3 linked regions of the Saccharomyces cerevisiae S288C genome follow. The protein of the gene in region 1 interacts with the protein of each later gene in a biochemical or structural test. Each region holds a gene or a part of one and is shown in the gene's direction. Other genes may lie near its edges.

Region 1 (3,791 bases):
GACTCGTTTTACACTTCTATTGGTCTAGACGGCTGTCACAAAGATGGTAATTTGATAAAGGTGGATGTTCAATTACGGGTCTTGAATACGAATGCTGTATTATTATGGATTACACACTCAAGAGACGTGGTCATTGAAAATTATACCACCGTTCCTTCGCAGCTACCGATGTTAAAGGAGAACGAAATTGATGTCGTTGGCAGTAGAGGTAGTTCCAGTGCATCTTCCAAGAAATCTTCGGAAAAAATTCCTGTGAATACTTTGAAGGCAATGGCTGATCTGTCGATTAGCTCCGCTGAAACGATTTCTAATTCAGACGATGAAGTAGACTTAAATCAAGTGAATGAAAAACTACGAGAAACTTCTTGCGGTAAAGTGAGAGGTATCGAATCTAATGACAACAATAACTATGACGATGACATGACAATGGTTGATGATCCTGAGTTAAAACATAAAATTGAATTAACGAAAATGTACACGCAGGACAAATCAAAATTTGTAAAGGACGACAACTTTAAAGTGGATGAAAAATTTATAATGAGGATAATTGAACCGATAAACGGAGAAGAAATCAAAAAGGAAACAAATGAGCTAGACAAAAGAAATTCTACTTTAAAAGCTACGTACTTGACTACTCCAGAGGCTAATATAGGCTCACAAAAGCGCATAAAGAAATTTTCTGATTTTACTATTCTGCAAGTGATGGGTGAGGGTGCGTACGGTAAAGTCAATTTATGCATTCATAACAGAGAACACTATATCGTGGTCATCAAAATGATTTTCAAAGAGAGGATTTTAGTAGACACATGGGTGAGAGATAGAAAATTAGGTACTATACCTTCTGAGATCCAAATTATGGCGACCTTGAATAAAAATTCCCAAGAAAATATCTTGAAGTTATTAGATTTTTTTGAAGATGACGATTATTATTACATTGAAACACCGGTCCATGGAGAAACTGGTAGTATTGATCTATTTGATGTTATCGAATTCAAAAAAGATATGGTTGAACATGAAGCTAAACTGGTGTTTAAACAGGTAGTCGCTAGTATAAAGCATTTACATGACCAAGGAATTGTTCATAGAGACATAAAGGACGAAAATGTTATTGTTGATTCTCATGGCTTTGTAAAATTAATCGATTTCGGTTCGGCTGCCTATATCAAGAGTGGACCATTCGATGTTTTTGTGGGAACAATGGACTATGCTGCACCTGAAGTCCTTGGTGGTTCCTCTTACAAAGGTAAACCACAAGATATTTGGGCTCTTGGTGTGCTACTTTATACCATAATTTATAAAGAGAATCCTTATTACAACATTGATGAAATCTTGGAAGGTGAATTAAGGTTCGATAAATCGGAACATGTCAGTGAAGAATGCATCAGTTTGATAAAAAGAATTTTGACAAGAGAAGTTGATAAAAGACCTACTATTGATGAAATATATGAAGATAAATGGCTTAAAATCTAGTTTTCCGTACTCTCCAAGATAAAGGGAAAGAATAATTTAATCCATTTTCATAACCATTTACCTTCATAAATGTTCTATTCTTTTTTTGGCTATATATTAATTACATTTTTAATATCATATCATTGCTCTATATCCTTCTTGTCCAGCCTCTATGCAGTATTTTCTTTCATTCTATTTTGGGGCAAACTTCTGCGCTGAGCGGCTTATCGCCGTCGGAGTGACATCAAGTACCATAGAAAAGTCATCGTAGACTTACATATTTAGGCAAGAGAAATAGTTAGGTAAACAGAAAGAGGCACTAGCAGAACGTACTACGGTGTGGTTTATACAAGAGGGTTCTGTGAATAATGGCTGCAAGTGAGATAATGAACAATCTGCCTATGCATTCCCTCGATTCTTCTCTAAGGGATTTACTTAACGATGACTTATTCATTGAAAGTGATGAATCGACCAAGTCGGTAAATGATCAGAGGAGTGAAGTATTTCAAGAATGTGTGAACCTTTTCATAAAAAGAGATATCAAGGATTGCCTAGAAAAAATGTCTGAGGTTGGATTTATTGATATTACCGTTTTCAAGTCCAACCCTATGATATTAGATTTATTTGTCAGCGCCTGTGATATTATGCCCAGCTTTACCAAATTAGGTTTAACACTGCAGAGTGAGATTTTGAATATTTTCACGTTAGATACCCCTCAATGTATTGAGACAAGAAAAATTATTCTCGGTGACCTCAGTAAACTTTTGGTCATCAATAAATTCTTTCGATGCTGTATCAAGGTTATTCAGTTTAACTTAACTGATCACACCGAACAAGAAGAAAAAACTCTGGAGCTTGAATCCATAATGAGTGATTTCATTTTCGTATACATAACGAAAATGAGGACAACTATAGATGTAGTTGGCTTACAAGAATTAATCGAGATATTCATCTTTCAGGTGAAGGTAAAACTGCATCATAAAAAACCCTCACCGAATATGTATTGGGCGCTTTGCAAAACATTACCTAAGTTATCTCCAACCCTAAAGGGCCTTTACTTATCTAAAGATGTTTCCATAGAGGATGCTATTCTGAACTCAATAGATAATAAAATACAAAAAGATAAGGCGAAGTCTAAAGGTAAACAAAGAGGAGTGAAACAGAAAATACACCATTTTCACGAGCCTATGTTACACAATAGTAGTGAAGAACAGGTTAAGGTTGAGGATGCGTTTAATCAACGCACCTCTACTGATAGTAGACTCCAGAGTACTGGAACGGCGCCCCGTAAAAAAAACAATGATATTACTGTTCTGGCTGGTTCATTTTGGGCTGTCCTGAAGCATCATTTCACAAGAAGTGTGCTGAACAAAAACGGACTTCTGCTCACAGGTCTGCTGCTACTCTTATGTTTGAAAAAATATAAGTCATTGATGGCAATTTTCAAACATGTTCCAGCGGCCTTTCACACTGTATACCCCCAGATTGTAGGGTTGCTAAAACTTCTAGCGAGTATATGAGAAATATTTGAATAGTTTATAAAACCCTACCTACTTATTTTAATGACATACATAATGGTTTTTCATCTTTTTCCACAATGAATGGTGGTTCTATTTTTTCTTGTGTCTTTCTGTTGTAATTCCATTTGTAACCGTGTCCAACCAATGCGAATATACTTTCTCGATGTCTTCTTTGTCCTCCAATTGATGAAATTTGGAAGATTCGATTAGCTTCTCATTGCGAGCATTGCAGACATCGTTTGCTAGACATAAATCACACCTCTTACCCCTGGCCATGCAGATCAATTGACCAAATCCAACCAAAACGGTGTTTATTTCGTACCACAGTGAGTGAGGTAGCCAAACCTGTAACTCCTTTCTAGTATGCTCGGCAGTCTTACACTTAATAGGGTCTACCCAATTCCACATTTTACACAGCCTATGGACATGAACATCGACGCATATGCCGGCAATCAGCCCCCAACCTTTTTGCAGTGTTAAATATCCCATTTTAGGTCCAACTCCAGGTAACGAGAGAATTCCCTCTATATCATACGGTATATCTGAATCGAAATTGTCTACCAATAATTGTGCGGTTCTTTTGATGAAATTGGCTTTTCTGGTATAGAAGCTAACGCATCGAATTAGATTTGCTAATACAGGTTCATCAATTTTAAGCAGTCCATCTAGCGTAATACCCTCTGCTATTTTTAATGTGTTTAAGCAGTATTCGGTGATATTCAAAGCCGCTTGCGCCATCCTTTCGTCCCTCGTTTGAGCAGAAAGCATAGTGCCAATAAGAAATTGAAGCCTGAAATTCTTTGGATCGACTTTTTCACTAGG
Region 2 (5,976 bases), on another chromosome or scaffold:
CATTTTACTGATAATATACACTCTTTGGATCGAGCCTACTTCCAGTTGGTAATTGGTGTTCCACAATTTCAGCATTATATGTTTTTAAACCAAAATTCGGCTCCTTTTCCCTTTTTTTCTTATTGGGTGGCGTGCCGTACAGAACGATTGGCTTGGTGTGAAATCAAGAGCAAGCACAATAGATATCAACATGAACAATATACAAAAGTCTCTGGCACAGTTTGACTGCGTTAGACCAGGCTAGGGCATTTCTGAAGCTTTACGTATCACTAGAGAAGTTATTTTGGCAATGAGAATCTACTACATCGGTGTATTTCGCTCTGGAGGAGAAAAGGCTCTAGAGTTGAGTGAAGTTAAAGACTTGTCACAATTTGGTTTCTTTGAAAGGTCTAGTGTTGGCCAGTTTATGACTTTTTTTGCTGAAACGGTCGCTTCTAGAACTGGTGCAGGACAAAGACAAAGTATAGAAGAAGGCAACTATATTGGCCACGTTTATGCCAGGAGTGAGGGCATATGTGGTGTTTTGATCACCGACAAAGAATATCCTGTCAGACCAGCATACACACTATTAAACAAAATATTGGATGAATATTTAGTCGCACATCCTAAGGAAGAGTGGGCAGATGTGACTGAGACCAATGATGCATTGAAAATGAAGCAACTGGACACTTACATTAGCAAATATCAAGATCCTTCACAGGCTGACGCTATCATGAAAGTTCAACAAGAACTGGATGAGACGAAAATCGTTTTGCACAAAACGATTGAGAATGTTTTACAAAGAGGTGAAAAGTTGGATAATTTGGTGGACAAATCGGAGTCATTAACGGCAAGTTCCAAAATGTTTTATAAGCAAGCTAAAAAATCCAATTCGTGTTGCATCATCATGTAGATGCATCCACACACTATTTTCAGCATAGTGTGGCTTTTCATCTGCTTTATGTAATTTAGAAAGCCAATGACAGCAGCAAGGGAAACAAAAATCTTTTAAATCAAATTAATTGTTTAAATAATATACTATGTAAGCATCGATTCTCCTAACTATTATAACCAAAGGTTGATTTGAAGCCATTGGCATTGTATTAGAATTGATTTGTTTCTTCAGTGTAAAAAAGTTAAAAATAAGCGACCCCAGTGAGGGTTGAACTCACGATCTTGCGATTAACAGTCGCACGCCTTAACCAACTTGGCCATGGAGTCTAATTGCTATATTTTTCTTTTGAAAACAAGATATATAAATAATGCTTGAGCTGGAGCATTTACGTTGTAAATGTATAATTAGTGTAAGAAACCGCTGGGCCCTATTTGTTGATGAAGTATTTACTTAAATGTAACAGAATATACTGGAAGTCCCCCCTCGGGCACATGGAAATTCACTAAAAGGAATTGGTAATGCATATGATATTACTACCGTTTCTCATTTCACTTTATATGCTTTCAGTGATTGTGTTACTACGTGACAGTTCTTACAATTCAGCGCCGTTACTCTCTATGAGTGCTCTCATTATTTATATCATATTCTTACACTTCATACAATTATATATACTCGTACCATGGATATTAGAGGATAGTTGGTTTTTGTTTAAACTAATTCTATGTAACCTCGATGGCATGAGTCCATAATACTGTACTGGCGTATGCCCTTGTTTGTGGTCTTTGTGCAACCATTTCAGGCTTTCTTATTTGCACAGGGCAGTTGCGACCCTGATAAAAAAAAATGGCTGATCAATCGGCGTGGACAAAAAAAAACATCGATTTCTATATTCATGGTAATCTGTCGAATTCTCCAACCAAGTTAGCTGGACTTTATTGTCTTATATCCGATTACTATCGCGATTTATTCTTGTGCGTAGCCGCAATTATAAAGGTCCGGAATATCTCTCCGACTATTGTCATCGTCGAATTTCTTCTGGAAGGGACGGCAGTAACAAGAAACACCTGAGGAACTGCTCTTTCAAATGACGACGACCAAGAGGTTGAAGTTTGAGAATCTGAGAATCCAATTCTCCAATGCCATAGTAGGAAACTTTTTAAGGTTACCGCATTCAATTATAAACGTGTTAGAGTCAACCAACTACGCTATCCAGGAATTCGGTATAGCAGTCCATTCTCATAATTCAGATATACCTATTGTTCATCTTGGATGGGATGGCCATGATTCTGGATCGAGTGAGAATGTTGTTCTTATCAATCCTGTTTTGGCCACAGTATATGATTTAAATCAAAAGTCTCCATTGGTGGACTTATACATCCAGCGATATGACCACACACACCTGGCTACGGAGGTGTATGTCACGCCAGAAACGAGTGATGATTGGGAAATTATCGATGCCAATGCGATGAGGTTCCAAAATGGTGAGATTTTGCACCAAACCCGTATAGTTACCCCAGGTGAGACTTTGATTTGTTATTTGGAAGGAATTGTTACAAAGTTCAAAATTGACAGGGTGGAGCCATCAATGAAGTCTGCGAGGATCACAGATGGTTCCTTGGTTGTTGTGGCACCAAAAGTCAATAAAACACGTTTGGTGAAGGCTGAGTATGGTCATAGTAATAAGACAATACTAAAAAATGGGGCTATCCAACTTTTAAAGAAGGTAATATTGAGGAGTACTGTGTGCAAAATGGACTTCCCTAAAGATAACCTTTTTGTCGTATATATCAGTGACGGGGCACAATTGCCTTCTCAGAAGGGCTACGCTTCTATCGTAAAATGTAGCTTAAGGCAGTCCAAGAAAAGCGATTCAGATAATAAATCAGTTGGTATCCCTTCGAAGAAGATTGGGGTTTTTATAAAATGTGATAGTCAGATACCCGAAAATCACATTGCATTAAGCTCTCATCTTTGGGATGCATTCTTTACGCACCCAATGAACGGAGCAAAAATCAAACTAGAGTTTCTACAAATGAATCAAGCAAATATAATATCCGGAAGAAATGCAACAGTCAATATCAAATATTTTGGCAAGGACGTTCCTACCAAGAGTGGGGATCAGTATTCTAAGTTGTTGGGCGGGAGCTTATTGACCAATAACTTAATACTTCCAACAGAGCAAATTATAATCGAAATAAAAAAAGGTGAATCCGAGCAGCAGTTGTGTAATTTGAATGAAATTTCCAATGAATCCGTTCAATGGAAAGTAACCCAAATGGGTAAAGAAGAAGTTAAAGATATTATCGAAAGGCATTTGCCTAAACATTACCACGTCAAAGAAACTGGCGAAGTTTCGCGCACTAGTAAAGATGAAGATGATTTCATTACGGTAAATAGTATCAAGAAAGAAATGGTCAATTATTTGACATCGCCTATTATTGCCACACCAGCTATTATATTAGATGGTAAGCAAGGGATCGGTAAAACAAGGTTATTAAAAGAGCTTATAAATGAAGTGGAAAAAGATCATCACATCTTCGTTAAATATGCGGATTGTGAAACATTGCACGAGACATCAAATTTAGATAAAACCCAAAAATTAATTATGGAATGGTGTTCTTTTTGTTATTGGTATGGTCCTTCTTTGATTGTGTTGGATAACGTTGAGGCTCTATTTGGAAAACCTCAAGCCAATGACGGAGATCCTTCTAATAATGGCCAATGGGATAATGCAAGCAAACTTTTGAATTTTTTCATCAATCAGGTGACAAAGATATTTAACAAGGATAATAAACGAATCAGAGTTTTATTTTCAGGCAAGCAGAAAACTCAAATTAATCCGCTATTGTTTGATAAGCATTTTGTTTCAGAGACGTGGTCTTTGAGAGCACCTGACAAACATGCAAGAGCGAAGTTACTGGAGTATTTTTTCTCGAAAAACCAGATCATGAAACTAAATCGAGATTTGCAATTCAGTGATTTGTCGTTGGAGACAGAAGGATTTTCGCCACTAGATTTGGAAATATTCACAGAAAAGATTTTCTACGACTTGCAGTTGGAAAGAGATTGTGATAATGTTGTAACAAGGGAACTTTTTTCGAAGTCGCTTAGTGCGTTTACACCATCTGCGTTGCGTGGAGTAAAGCTAACAAAAGAAACGAACATCAAATGGGGGGATATTGGTGCTTTAGCAAATGCCAAAGATGTCCTTCTAGAAACCTTAGAGTGGCCCACAAAATATGAGCCTATTTTCGTTAATTGTCCCCTAAGATTGAGATCAGGAATCTTGCTTTACGGTTATCCTGGTTGTGGTAAAACGCTTCTGGCGAGCGCCGTGGCACAACAATGTGGGTTAAACTTTATCTCCGTTAAGGGACCAGAGATTTTAAACAAGTTTATAGGTGCCAGCGAACAAAACATAAGAGAATTGTTTGAAAGGGCACAGTCCGTCAAACCCTGTATTCTATTTTTTGACGAGTTCGATTCTATTGCGCCAAAGAGAGGGCATGACTCCACTGGTGTCACAGACCGTGTAGTCAATCAATTATTGACCCAAATGGATGGTGCCGAGGGCCTTGATGGTGTATATATACTAGCAGCTACAAGTAGACCTGATTTGATTGATAGCGCATTGTTAAGACCGGGAAGATTAGACAAAAGTGTGATCTGTAATATACCGACTGAATCAGAGAGGTTAGATATCTTGCAAGCTATCGTCAATTCAAAAGACAAGGATACGGGACAAAAAAAATTTGCATTGGAGAAAAATGCAGACTTGAAGTTGATCGCTGAAAAGACAGCTGGTTTTTCGGGTGCTGATTTACAGGGGCTCTGCTACAATGCTTATTTGAAATCTGTACATAGGTGGCTGTCTGCTGCAGACCAATCGGAAGTGGTACCCGGCAATGATAATATAGAATACTTCAGTATCAATGAGCACGGGCGTAGAGAAGAAAATAGACTACGGCTAAAGACTCTATTGCAGCAAGATGTGGTGCACGAGACAAAGACAAGCACTTCAGCTGCTTCTGAGCTGACAGCTGTGGTCACAATAAACGATTTATTGGAAGCCTGTCAAGAGACAAAACCTAGTATTTCAACAAGTGAGTTGGTCAAATTAAGGGGGATTTACGATAGGTTCCAGAAGGATAGGAACGGTGAGATGCCCAATGGTGAGAATTCCATCGACATTGGTAGCCGACTCTCCCTTATGTGAAAAGGAAGAAGAAAAGAACAAAGCGCGTTTCCCTTTAAAGGGCAAAAAATGCGGCGCACGTTGCTTATTACGTGACATGACCCTATTGTATTGTGCGAGCACGCAGGACGGGAAAAATATTGGTGAAATTACATAACGCATTTTTTTTCCCTTGTGGTGAAAAGGAAAAACCCGAGAAATATGCCAGTAACAGTGGAGACCGGTCAAGATGTATTGAACGAAATCCGAAGTTGCATATATAACATAAATGCCTGCTACCTTTTGATACTTAATTCTTCTTAGCACCTATACGCTTTTTTTTTCATTTTTCCTTATCTTTTCTTTTTCTCGCAGAAGTCTATACAAAGAAGAAATATATATATATCTATTTCTTTTTTTTTTCAACCGTATACCACCGGCAACAAACCTCCATGTATTCATAGGCCCTGCATTACATCAAGAAATATTAGCATAAACGTATAGACCATTTTAACGCCACAGGCAAGCATACGCATTAAATCGCACCACCAACCAATGACAGTCTCACACAATCATTCTACGAAGATATCCCAACAACCAATCTCCTCGGTATCAGCATTTAAGTTCTTCGGAAAGAAGCTGTTAAGTTCAAGCCATGGGAACAAGTTGAAGAAAAAGGCGTCTCTACCTCCAGACTTCCACTCTACAAGTACTAATGACAGCGAATCCTCCAGCCCAAAACTGCCGAATTCGTTGAAAACCTCTCGCCGTGCAAACTCTTTCGCTCACACAACCAACAGCAAGAGATCTTTATCTTCCGCCTCAACCAAGATCCTACCTCCGGCCGGCTCCAGCACGTCCATCTCAAGAGGAAACAGACATTCGTCCACTTCGCGTAATCTCTCAAACTCCAAGTTCAGTAGCGAAC
Region 3 (5,943 bases), on another chromosome or scaffold:
AGTCAACGGTAAACCAGGCGGTATTATTAGTTTTGTATATACCACCATCTGTTGTTATAGCAGAAGTATTTTTAGCGACGTAATCAATAACGTCATTAAACATAGTATTTTCTGAATAGAAACTGTAAACGATGCTTTTTGGTTCTGTAACTTTGGATTTAGCATCTGATGTAAGCTGTGCAAGGAAGTTAAATGTAGTAGTTATATCTTCTGAACTCTTTTCTGGAATAGAAATGGTGAAATTGTTCGTCGATTTATCTGGGCGTGATATCGTGGCAACACTGTTAGAATTATGTTTTATGCTGAAGGGTTCTTGAGGGAATGAGCTGAAAGCATCTGGTACTTGGAATGTTATATTTTGCTGACTTCCCTTTGGAATAGACAGTTGCCCTTCTATTATGAACCAATGATCTGGATCCGTACATTCTTTTGTTTTGGTATAACTATCTGTTATTTGAATATCTTTTAAAATCGGTTGCGTTTGTGTGAGAGCGTTTGCTAGGCCGAGTATCGAAATGACTCGTACTAGATGTAACAATAGTTTATTCATTGTAGTGTTTTATATTATGCTTGTTTATGTTGATTCTACTGAAAGAAAACCATCAGAAAGTTTGAGTCTAAGGACACAAGTTTTAGGTCGGCAAGAATGTATTCTGCTTTTATATTTGTACTGTTATGGACGAATAAAAAAAAAACAAGCCACATTAAAAAGGAAGTACTAAATCGTATTCTTAGCATCAAACCAGCATCTTACTCATAAAAGCTTGAGTACCTTTTCGGAAGTGTCAGCCGAAAGTGTCAGTAAATTAGTCCCTTGTCAGCCTGCTGTTTTTCCTCACGGCGCGGAGCCAGCGCGTCCGAATTAGGAAAATAATAGAGCCAGCAAGAACCATTTCACTAAAGAGGTTACTAAAGAGGTTACTAAAGGAACCAGCAGAGGCTATATTAGTTGTGAATGGTACCATTCTATGCATAAATTTATTGGGATATGATCCTCCATGGTGGGACTTCGTTTAATATCAAATCCTTAGCACTGTTTTTTTTTGCTTTTTCTTTTTTGTGTTTCTTTTTCTTTGGCAGGGAAACGACATATCCAACATCCCATACACTATTGATCTTCGTTATGGCATTACTGCCACGCTCAACGTCATTTTTCGTCTTGTAGCTTATTCTCTGATTATTGTTATTGCAAGAGGTAAACGCTCATTGTGAATAACAATTTCGGAAACGGAGATACAATCTAGAAAAAAATAACAACAAACGAATTCGTTGCTAGGATCCACTCAATACACAGTATAGCCACAAAGAATAGGATATTCCAGCATGGTTTTGCCTATAATAATTGGTTTGGGCGTGACAATGGTTGCTCTAAGTGTCAAGTCTGGTCTCAATGCATGGACCGTCTACAAGACCCTGTCCCCTTTAACTATTGCAAAACTAAATAACATTCGCATAGAAAACCCGACGGCGGGCTACCGCGATGCACTTAAGTTCAAAAGCTCACTGATAGACGAAGAACTGAAAAATAGATTAAACCAGTACCAGGGAGGCTTTGCACCGCGAATGACAGAGCCCGAAGCCTTGCTCATCTTGGATATCTCCGCCAGAGAGATTAATCACTTGGATGAAAAATTACTGAAAAAAAAGCACAGGAAGGCTATGGTTCGTAACCACCCAGACAGAGGAGGGAGTCCCTACATGGCGGCCAAGATAAATGAGGCGAAAGAAGTTCTCGAAAGAAGTGTTTTACTAAGAAAGAGATAAAAGAACTTTATATATCATGTAGCCAATTGCTACACTTCCTTACACCACATAGTATACGGCGATAATCGTCAACACTTCCGGGAAAGTGCGGCCATCGGAGACTTTCAAACAAGTCATTAGAATTAGAACAAAGAACAGTAGTGGAGAGCATATATGTGTTTGCATACCCTCCAAAAGAAAGCGATTATAGTAACATTAATATGAAGGCATCGCTTACGTTTAGTCTCTCCGGAATATACGCCCCCTGTAGCATTTCTAGGGATATATATCTCGAATACGGCGATAAAAAAGCTGAATGTTTATATGGGACAATTAGATTGCCTCAGTACGGTCCAGGTTGCACGCCTGGTAAAATTGTACATTGTGTCCTGGATGATTCACTGCCCTTCTGTAGCATTGTTGTACCTTCCAAACTTTTTGGGTTTATGCCGACACAGCCCACTATGGATTTTTGCTATTTTGAACCCATATTAGACAATGTAGTACCTGTACTGGATAGCGTAACGTTTCTGATTAATGAACAATTGTACTCAAAACTAATGGACCTACCGCAAGAGATGCAACAAATACAATTTTTGCATTACAAATATAACATCAACTCCATGGAAACCGTGGTTCATTCTCGAGATATTTTAACATCTGGTCTTTGCCAAATTTTAAACTGCTCACCTTTCCCGCAGGGCCTTGTTGATTTTACAGAAACCCAATTGATATTAGTAAATGATACTGAGCAGAAACTAAGTGCTCTAAAATATGCTAACGAAGATGAAGAATATGCATTACCTAAAATAGGGACAAATTCTGCTTTATCAATTGATCTTGAATCTCTCCCCTGCACAATTTCAAGAGATCTTTTGCGACCTGCACCTCACATCAATGATGATAATTCAATATATGCCTTTACAGACGCTGAAACTCTACTGCGCCTGGATGTCACAAGTGGATCGTTTATAACAGTGTCAAATATGGGTTGCGTCAGGCTAGTTAAGCTGTTTGTTTTACTACTCCCCAACGGCTTTAAAAAAAGAACAATATACGCACCTCCCAAAATAATAGCAAGCTTTCCAGACTGCAGCGTCGTGACAATATCAAAGTCCAATATAGGCCATACAGATATTCCCATTGCTAATCAAGTTTTCATCTCAAGAGTTGGAGGCTGGCTTCAATCTCAGAAATGCTTTCAAAATATTATTCTAACAACCTTGAAAAAGTTTTTTAGCGAGAGCAAAAGGATTCTTTGTCAAAATGATTTAATCCCAATCGCTTTTGATTCAAGTATGGCTGATCTCAATATAGCAGAGGAAAATGATGAGTCTGATGACGAAGATGAGCTAGGGCAGTACTACAAGAACGATTCCCTTGTATGGTTCTTTGTCACAAGCGCAGAGCTCGATTGCTTCTCTAAAGATAATTCTCATTTTATTATTGATCCCAATCGGACGAAGCTAATAACAACTAATATCACTAACAGAAGACCATTACCCTTGAGTAGATCCAATCTTCAGAGATATTACGGTTTTGCTGAAACTTTTTACTATGATTTGCATATCTTCCCCTATGTAAGACAATTGGTTAACATATTAGAAACTTCCTTCAATTGTTCTCAAAGGGGAATCACCCTAAATGCCTCTGTGTTACTTCATTCCACTACAAACAATGTGGGCAAGGCTACAATGGTGAGATTTGCTTCAAAATATCTTGGTATACATCTACTGGAGATAGATTGCCTTTCGCTCACTTCAAATTCAAGACAACTGGATTCAACATCTAAGATTATTGGTTACATTAGGGCTAAATGTGAAAATGTCCTACCGTACGCATCACCTGCTGTGATTTTTTTGGCTCATTTGGATTCAATTTTGCTTGACGTAAACGCTAATCAAGATCCAGAGGCAATCAAATTACAAAAATCTATAAACTTCGAAATGTCTAAACTTCTGGACGATTTTACGTTTAAATTCCCAGGAACTACATTTGTTGGCTCCGTAAATAACATAGATAACGTGCCTTCCAGCTTTAGATCACATATGAGATTTGAGATTCTCGTACCCGTTCCGTCTGAAGCACAGAGACTGCGTATCTTTCAGTGGTACTTATCTTCACATGAACTAAACAGAGATGTTCAACAAAAGGTTCCAGTATCTTACATGGATAATATTTCATTTTCATCACTCTCTTCATATTCTGCTGGTTTAACTCCTTTAGACATCAAATCAATTGTGGAAACGGCACGAATGACGGCTACTGCGCGTTTTTACCAAGAATCAAAGAAGTGTGGATGGCTTCCGCAATCAATTTTGATCACTCAGGAGGATTTATCAAAAGCTACTTCGAAAGCTAGGAACGAATTCTCGGTTTCGATTGGTGCCCCACAAATCCCTAACGTAACTTGGGATGATATAGGTGGTATTGATTTTGTTAAAGGTGAAATATTGGACACAATAGACATGCCGCTAAAACATCCTGAATTATTTACCTCAGGTATGAAAAAGAGAAGCGGTATTCTTTTTTATGGTCCACCGGGTACAGGTAAAACTCTAATGGCTAAGGCCATTGCAACAAATTTTTCTTTAAATTTTTTTAGTGTTAAAGGCCCTGAACTGTTGAATATGTACATTGGTGAGAGTGAAGCTAATGTGCGCAGAGTGTTTCAAAAGGCGAGAGAGGCTAAACCTTGTGTCATATTTTTCGATGAAATCGATTCAGTAGCACCCAAACGTGGTAATCAAGGTGATTCGGGTGGTGTTATGGATCGTATCGTTTCACAGTTACTAGCAGAGTTAGATGGTATGAGTACCGACGCTGACGGTGTATTTGTTATCGGAGCAACAAACAGACCAGACTTATTGGACGAAGCACTACTAAGACCAGGACGATTCGATAAATTGTTATATTTAGGCATTCCGGATACGGATACCAAACAATTGAATATTTTAGAGGCTCTGACTCGCAAATTCGTGCTCGACAACGACGTAAAGCTTATTGAGTTGGCAAAGCTATGTCCATTTAATTACACCGGGGCAGATTTTTATGCTCTCTGCTCAGATGCAATGCTTAACGCCATGTCAAGAATTGCACGCATGGTAGAAAAAAAAGTTTCTCAGCATAACGAATTGACGGGAGAGAATATTTCTACACGTCGCTGGTTTGATAAGATTGCGACAAAAGAGGATACTAAGGTTGTCGTAAAAATGGAAGACTTCTTGAAAGCACAAGAGCAGCTCACCCCAAGTGTGTCGCGGGCTGAACTGAATCATTATGAAGCGGTGAGAGCTAATTTTGAAGGTGCTTAAGTAATATCAACTCAGAGCGTATAGGTAAATTTGTAAATATATGTCCCATATTTTGCCTTGAAATTTATCTTTTTATTTACTTACCCTCCCCGGCTCATAGTATCTATCGAAAGGGAAAAACAGAAAAGATACTAGTAGTTGATTATACATAATAAAAATTTGAAGTAATAACCATAAAGGTTCATAAAACAATTGCGCCATACAAAACATTCGTGGCTACAACTCGATATCCGTGCAGATGGTATATGAAGCAACACCTTTTGATCCGATCACGGTCAAGCCAAGCGATAAAAGACGCGTTGCATATTTTTACGATGCAGACGTTGGGAACTATGCATATGGAGCAGGTCACCCGATGAAGCCGCATAGAATAAGAATGGCACATTCCCTTATTATGAATTATGGCTTGTACAAGAAGATGGAAATTTACAGAGCTAAGCCGGCAACGAAACAAGAAATGTGTCAGTTCCATACTGATGAATACATTGATTTTTTATCGAGGGTTACTCCAGATAATTTAGAAATGTTTAAAAGAGAAAGTGTCAAGTTTAATGTCGGAGATGATTGTCCTGTCTTTGATGGGCTCTATGAGTACTGTAGCATATCTGGTGGTGGCTCTATGGAAGGAGCTGCTCGTCTGAATAGAGGCAAATGTGATGTTGCTGTCAACTATGCGGGTGGTTTGCATCATGCAAAAAAATCGGAAGCTTCTGGGTTTTGTTATTTAAATGACATAGTACTGGGCATTATTGAGCTACTACGATACCACCCCAGAGTTCTGTATATTGATATTGATGTGCACCATGGTGATGGTGTAGAGGAAGCGTTTTATACAACGGATCGTGTCATGACATGTTCTTTCCACAAATATGGTGAGTTTTTCCCT

Evidence for each region.
Region 2: the proteins of PEX15 (region 1) and PEX1 form a complex in vitro, tested with the Saccharomyces cerevisiae proteins (3 studies listed by BioGRID).
Region 3: the proteins of PEX15 (region 1) and PEX6 form a complex in vitro, tested with the Saccharomyces cerevisiae proteins (4 studies listed by BioGRID).

What each region holds. Positions count from the first base shown.
Region 1 is NC_001147.6:245,333-249,123, forward strand, and holds PEX15 (Pex15p), read left to right. Parts: upstream 1-1,817; coding exon 1,818-2,969; downstream 2,970-3,791. Other genes in the region: serine/threonine protein kinase PSK2, read left to right, coding at 1-1,470; bifunctional N-glycosylase/AP lyase NTG2, read right to left, coding at 3,060-3,791. UniProt on the Saccharomyces cerevisiae protein: Peroxisomal docking factor that anchors PEX1 and PEX6 to peroxisome membranes. PEX26 is therefore required for the formation of the PEX1-PEX6 AAA ATPase complex, a complex that mediates the extraction of the PEX5 receptor from peroxisomal membrane.
Region 2 is NC_001143.9:69,848-75,823, reverse strand, and holds PEX1 (AAA family ATPase peroxin 1), read left to right. Parts: upstream 1-1,958; coding exon 1,959-5,090; downstream 5,091-5,976. Other genes in the region: MIA40 (Mia40p), read right to left, coding at 1-3; palmitoyltransferase YKT6, read left to right, coding at 290-892; putative serine/threonine protein kinase PTK1, read left to right, coding at 5,604-5,976. UniProt on the Saccharomyces cerevisiae protein: Component of the PEX1-PEX6 AAA ATPase complex, a protein dislocase complex that mediates the ATP-dependent extraction of the PEX5 receptor from peroxisomal membranes, an essential step for PEX5 recycling.
Region 3 is NC_001146.8:18,655-24,597, reverse strand, and holds PEX6 (AAA family ATPase peroxin 6), read left to right. Parts: upstream 1-1,964; coding exon 1,965-5,057; downstream 5,058-5,943. Other genes in the region: EGT2 (Egt2p), read right to left, coding at 1-550; MDJ2 (Mdj2p), read left to right, coding at 1,324-1,764; histone deacetylase RPD3, read left to right, coding at 5,296-5,943. UniProt on the Saccharomyces cerevisiae protein: Component of the PEX1-PEX6 AAA ATPase complex, a protein dislocase complex that mediates the ATP-dependent extraction of the PEX5 receptor from peroxisomal membranes, an essential step for PEX5 recycling.